Saccharomyces cerevisiae S288C: one gene and its partner. Each later gene encodes a partner of the first gene's protein in a complex. Each region holds a gene or a part of one and is shown in the gene's direction. Other genes may lie near its edges.

Region 1 (3,220 bases):
ATTTCTTTCCTTTTGGGGGAACTTCTTATGATGGGTACATCGATTTTTGAAGAAAACTGAAAAGTTGATTTCGCGGGGTTTTATAATATAGTACAAAGATATATGCAATTGCCATGGCAGTTCTCATATGTAGTTTGGGGTGGATCGAATGCTTGTGACCATTAATTTGTCCAACATCTCTGTAGTTATACCCATGTTACCGTTGCCAGTACGACCGGTACCGTTGTCTATAGTTTGTCCTCCTGTACCCATAGTGTTGACTGTCATGTTGACATTTGTGGTTGAGGGAACAGTCGCCATATTGGCACCGCCGGTAGGTCGTACACTGCTCTTGTTACTGCCCCCTCCAGCGTTGTTCCCGTTGGTGGCAGCCGTTGCAGTCGTGCTAGTGTCCGTAGGTACTTTATAGTGTACTCCTTGGGAAGGTTGAAACTCAATCAAGTCATACAAGCTCTCCAATGTGCTATTTAGATGGTAGCTCGTGGACATCAGCCTACTTTGCACAATTTTAAAAATTGTTGGCGATTGGTAAATGTTTGCACCAATTATGTAGTAGTCTTGCAATGGAATAATCTCTGGTCCCTTAGCGCTTCCCACACCAGAATTGTTTGTTCGTCTTTGCTTCCTGATAACCCAGAAGTCAGGCTCTCTTACGCTGCTCAATACGTATTCAGTACCATCTAACTTCATTAATTCCTCCTCCAGTTGCATATACATAGGATACTTGAAAAGGATTTGTCTTCTTGCCGGATCCACATAGGCAAACTCCTCTTCCAAGTTTCCATTCTTCCCATCTGGTAAGGTCATTATGTTTTGTGTCATATTCACGGCAGCATTAGGATCATTTAACTGGGAAAACTGCCTTTGCATTTTAATTACCTGATTATTCGACGTCTTATCGAAAAATGGTGATTCTGCAAAGTAATCAAGAACATTCTCAGTTCTCAAACCAAAAACTTGAATCCATTCTGGAGATTTCCATTGCAATTCATCCAACGGTGTCACGTTCATTTTGCGAAATCCTGCTTTGTTTCACTACTTGCAACTTTATATTCAGAGGTCTTCTCATCGTTCCACATTTTTCCACTCATTATTTATAATACGCTCATTATGTTAACCAAAAAAAATAATGCAGCCAGGCTTGAAATAATTCTGCCATCTTCAAACAAGAGCTATAAAACCAAAGAAAACTTGACCAAACAATAACAAACCTTCATTCAACACACGTTTTACTATGATACCTTCCCGGATTAGCCACAAATTTCCTCTATTCTTAAGGAGTTCGCTGGCCGCTCCTAAAGCTGCCTATCGTTTCAGTTCGACCATCCCCAAACCAAGCGATCAGGTACCTGACGTAGATGCATTTCTAAACAAGATCGGTCGAAATTGCAACGAATTGAAGGATACTTTCGAAAATAACTGGAACAACCTTTTCCAATGGGATTCTAAGATATTGAAGGAAAAAGGCGTGAATATTCAACAAAGGAAATATATACTGAAACAAGTTCATAACTATCGTAACAATAGGCCAATTCATGAAATTAAACTGGGCAAGAAGTCATTTTTTGGTGGTGAGAGGAAGAGAAAGGCATTTACTGCTAAATGGAAAGCTGAAAACAAGCAATAGACGCTTTCGCAAGATCTCAATATATACATGTATACGTATATGTTCACATTATACTCCATATTCTTGTAAATATATAATAAACTCAGAAATTGTTGTCCTTCATTCATGTTGATATTTATATGAAACGCTGACTGGGCCTTTCAAATCTTCATCGGTTTGAAATTTGAATTGTAAATATGTTTTGAAGATACGATGAAATGAAAAATTGACGGCTTAACGAGAAGATGAGTGAAACAAGGATGGCACAGAACATGGATACTACAGATGAACAGTACCTGAGACTTATTGAGCTACTCTCAAACTATGATTCCACCTTAGAGCAGTTGCAGAAGGGGTTCCAGGATGGCTACATCCAATTGAGCAGATCGAACTACTATAATAAAGACTCATTACGAGGAAACTATGGTGAAGATTACTGGGATGAAACGTATATAGGTCAACTAATGGCAACAGTGGAAGAAAAAAACTCCAAGGTAGTTGTCGAAATCGTCAAAAGAAAAGCTCAAGATAAGCAAGAAAAGAAAGAGGAAGAAGATAATAAATTGACTCAGAGAAAAAAAGGAACGAAGCCAGAAAAGCAAAAAACTCAGAGTCACAAACTTAAACAAGACTACGACCCAATTTTGATGTTTGGTGGAGTACTGTCCGTTCCTTCTTCATTGAGACAATCGCAGACAAGTTTCAAAGGTTGTATTCCCTTAATAGCCCAATTGATTAATTACAAGAACGAAATATTAACGTTGGTTGAAACGTTGTCTGAGCAGGAATAAAGAGTTAAGAATATAGTAAAAAGAAATAATACATACGTGTATATTTGAAGAAAGAAATAATCATTAAAAGTTGTCGTAGATTAATTATAATAAAGTCCATGGTTTGAAAAAGAAAAAAAAAAATTAAGACCAAAATAAAAGCTCAATACCCAAAAGAAAACCGAACACCGTAATAATACAAAATCCCATAAAACACCATGTGATGGACTTAAAGACAGAATTTGGAAGCAGTTCAAAGAAGAGGAGGAAAGAAGAAAACTAGTTCAGGTATTTCGAGGAGTACTAGTTTCACTACATTGATAGTAGAATTTTAGCACGTCATCCACAGATATTCTGTTACCAGGGGAATTTAGCGACTGATCTACATTGAAACAATTTCCTAATTCGGGCGTATGTAGCGCACTCAACTCTCTTGGCTTGAATTTGCCAGAAAATGATGAAACAGAGGGAGAGGAAGGATTGGTCTTTTCGCTGACGCTATCTCCAAGAACAGAAGGAAATGTATAATTTCTCAAGTCTTCCAAGGTCATTTCCAAATCTGTAGGCGAGTCTAATTGCTTATTGCCATTTGGGGTATTGTTGGTTTCGTTACCATCGTGGTGAGAATCCATCGTTGTAGCTATTGTGGAGGAAGACACTATTCTGCTCGAATCGTTCATCACAACATTGGAATATTTAGAAGAGACGTTTGAATCTGGTCGGGGTTGCGGTGCCAAAGACGTGAATTTGACTAATGATTCTACATCATGTTTTTCTTCGTGCGACTCAAGAGGGTTGTCTTCCCTTTTACCATTAGCATGCGAAATATGGTGAAAATCAAATG
Region 2 (2,794 bases), on another chromosome or scaffold:
TGTTTAAACAAATTTCGGAAGCAATGGAGGATTATATCCCAATTATCTCCTCGGAATATATCCTTATTATGCCTTGGTCTTCCAATATGGACCGAAGAGTACTTACAGTAAATAGCAGTATCCTTCGTTTTTCATCTACACTTTTCTACCTAAAATTGATCTTCCCGAAGAAGAAAAACTAAAAACTTCGATTTGATGACTGTCAAGACCCCAAGAAAGAGGGAAAAAAAAAAATGATATCTCATGCAACAACAAGTAATTAAGTGCTCCTTGTTCATGGAAGACACAACAGGCACCACTAATAACCTGAATGAGGCACCTTCGACTTTCGAGATGAGCCCTTAGTTCATCCTGGTGTTGTGTTTGAGAGGGGGAGAGCACATCATTGTACTTCCAGATCCCCCTAGCCATGATCTAATATTACCGCTGAGTAAAAATAGATCTCGGCTGCGTCTCCGTCTCCGCCCGCCTTCCGTCGGTTACTTCGTCGGTTCTTGCTCGACCCCCGCCAGTCCGCAGACAACAGTCCGCAGCAGGCAAGTGCTGGTGTCCGCTTGGTGTTTTTACGTACGATTGTCTTTGTTGTTGTTTTTACTCTTTATTACAGTTATTACTACTGTTTGTTTAGTATATACAGGTATTTGTGGTATTGATTATTTATTTACGGTTTGGTTGGATTAAGCGTTGCTAGCGTTAGTGTACAACGACGTCACTTCGTCGATGTCCTCGAGCGCTGTGGTCAGTTTCTGTAGTTTCTCGAGCGTTTCATCGCCTTGCACGAAAACTTCCATATCCGGCTTGGCATTGTAGCCGATGCCCAAGTCTCTGATGTGGAAACCACGCTCCTTCAGTAGGGCGGCCACCTTATTGGTATCGGCAGGTTCCATCACCGCCTCGTAAGTTTGGCCTGTAGTTTCAGTTTCGGTATCACACTCTAAATCTTCTGCGTCTTCCTGCACAGGCGCAATGTCTTCGATGCCTTGAATCTCCAGTACGCTTTCTAGCACCTTGTCCTCAGTGTCTAACATCTTCGGAGGTACCATTGTAACGTATCCTTTTTTGTCGAAGAAAAACAACGTTGGAGTCATCGATCCATTAGCTTTATTAAATGCACTCCTTATCAGACCTATGGTCCTGTTCTTGTTGTCTGTCAGCGCTTCCACCACTATAGCGACCCCGCCGGGCCCCATTCCCTCGTATACACATAGCTCAGAAGCGTTTGAGTCCTTGCCCGATGCGCTGCTTCCAGAAGCTTTCCGGATGGCGTTCTCAATAACTTTTTTGCTGACATTGTTTTTATTTGCTAGCTCGATGCTGGTGGCTAATCTTATATTCATGCTCGGATCCGTAATACCGTTGCCTAACTTGACTGACATTGCTATCTGGTTTGCAAACTTGTTATTAATTTTGTTTCGTTCCGCATCATTCTTGGCTTTACCGTGCTTGATGGTTGACCATTTGTTGTGACCTGAACGTACCGAGGAATTCAGCACACTAAACGATCGAGAGTTTTTGAGCAGTTCACCCAGATACCTATTTCTTACCAACATTTTCCAATTTTTGATGCGTTCATACCAAGTTTGCTGTTTTTCTTAGTTATTATCATCATCTTTCCCCTTATTGCTGCTGAAACTTGCGTACGTGCGTACTAAAAAAATTTCACTGCGCTTACGCCGGTAAAGGGAAGTAGGAAAACGAAAGAAAAAAAAAAAATAAAGGCGAACGATAACAGGAAAACCAACGTGAATTGCAAGCACTACATTTATTATATCGAGTTGACAAAGAATTAAGAAAATAGAGCACTACATTTCTATATTCATAGCTAGTCTCACTGACGCATAGTAACTAAATCATGGCTGAGAAACGTACTCTTATAGCTGTGATAGCTGACGAAGATACTACAACTGGTTTATTGTTAGCCGGGATTGGACAAATCACTCCTGAAACCCAAGAAAAGAACTTTTTTGTTTACCAAGAAGGTAAGACTACTAAGGAGGAAATCACTGACAAGTTTAATCACTTTACTGAAGAGAGAGACGATATTGCCATCCTTCTAATCAACCAACATATCGCGGAAAACATAAGAGCTAGAGTGGACTCCTTCACCAATGCGTTCCCTGCTATTTTAGAAATTCCATCTAAAGATCATCCCTACGACCCTGAAAAGGACTCTGTATTGAAGAGAGTCAGAAAGTTGTTCGGTGAGTAAGCGAACGATCTTTCCCAAAACAAACACAATTACTGGTAGATTACTAGTAGCAGGCGGAGGTGGAGGGCGGGAGCCACTGTTATTGCGTTTGTATAATATATACACTCATAAATGATATATTTAAGGTTCAGATAAAAACAACTTTTTTTTTTTTAGCACGTCTTTACTGCAGTCACCAAACCCATTTTTTTTTTCCTATTGTGAATACCCGCCCATATTTTTCACACACAACTGATGAGTAATATAAAACTTTTCTTTAAAATTATAACAAGATACACATATATAAAGACCAAAAAAGGGAACGTGACACGGCCTCGCTAATATACAATCATAATTCATTAACTGATTTGGCTAATGCTTCAATAAAGATATCAGCATGCTTCTCCTCGAATGTTAATGAAGGTCTTAATCTCACTGCATGGACTGCACATCCACCAACGTTGCAACCATTCAACTTCAATTTCTTCAATAGTAAGTCTCTCTTCTCACCAGTAGGCAAATCCCAGGCAATGAATGTGCCTCTTCCTTTACCTCTCAAGTTTTGAAAGTTTTCAGGGTATTTCTTCTGCAAACCCTCCAATTTCT

What was found.
Region 2: the proteins of VMA22 (region 1) and VMA7 are in contact, whole or in part, in a cryo-EM structure (PDB 8EAS), measured with the Saccharomyces cerevisiae proteins. Residues at the interface, in NP_011927.1 of Saccharomyces cerevisiae: Tyr17 (codon at 1,900), Leu20 (codon at 1,909), Leu24 (codon at 1,921), Tyr27 (codon at 1,930), Leu31 (codon at 1,942), Leu34 (codon at 1,951), Gln35 (codon at 1,954), Phe38 (codon at 1,963), Tyr42 (codon at 1,975), Leu45 (codon at 1,984), Ser46 (codon at 1,987), Tyr60 (codon at 2,029), Gly61 (codon at 2,032), Glu62 (codon at 2,035), Trp65 (codon at 2,044), Asp66 (codon at 2,047), Glu67 (codon at 2,050), Thr68 (codon at 2,053), Tyr69 (codon at 2,056), Ile70 (codon at 2,059), Gly71 (codon at 2,062), Gln72 (codon at 2,065), Leu73 (codon at 2,068), Met74 (codon at 2,071), Ala75 (codon at 2,074), Val77 (codon at 2,080), Val86 (codon at 2,107), Ile88 (codon at 2,113), Lys92 (codon at 2,125), Pro132 (codon at 2,245); in NP_011534.1 of Saccharomyces cerevisiae: Glu3 (codon at 1,859), Arg5 (codon at 1,865), Thr6 (codon at 1,868), Ile8 (codon at 1,874), Glu14 (codon at 1,892), Asp15 (codon at 1,895), Thr16 (codon at 1,898), Thr17 (codon at 1,901), Thr18 (codon at 1,904), Gly19 (codon at 1,907), Leu20 (codon at 1,910), Leu21 (codon at 1,913), Leu22 (codon at 1,916), Ala23 (codon at 1,919), Gly24 (codon at 1,922), Ile25 (codon at 1,925), Gly26 (codon at 1,928), Gln27 (codon at 1,931), Ile28 (codon at 1,934), Thr29 (codon at 1,937), Pro30 (codon at 1,940), Lys35 (codon at 1,955), Val39 (codon at 1,967), Gln41 (codon at 1,973), Ala65 (codon at 2,045), Ile66 (codon at 2,048), Leu68 (codon at 2,054), Asn70 (codon at 2,060), Ala90 (codon at 2,120), Ile91 (codon at 2,123).

What each region holds. Positions count from the first base shown.
Region 1 is NC_001140.6:218,874-222,093, forward strand, and holds VMA22 (Vma22p), read left to right. Parts: upstream 1-1,851; coding exon 1,852-2,397; downstream 2,398-3,220. Other genes in the region: mediator complex subunit MED6, read right to left, coding at 124-1,011; mitochondrial 37S ribosomal protein mS41 FYV4, read left to right, coding at 1,235-1,627; GIC1 (Gic1p), read right to left, coding at 2,661-3,220. UniProt on the Saccharomyces cerevisiae protein: Required for V-ATPase activity.
Region 2 is NC_001139.9:526,388-529,181, reverse strand, and holds VMA7 (H(+)-transporting V1 sector ATPase subunit F), read left to right. Parts: upstream 1-1,852; coding exon 1,853-2,209; downstream 2,210-2,794. Other genes in the region: post-initiation translation factor DPC29, read right to left, coding at 678-1,550; UGA1 (4-aminobutyrate transaminase), read right to left, coding at 2,538-2,794. UniProt on the Saccharomyces cerevisiae protein: Subunit of the V1 complex of vacuolar(H+)-ATPase (V-ATPase), a multisubunit enzyme composed of a peripheral complex (V1) that hydrolyzes ATP and a membrane integral complex (V0) that translocates protons.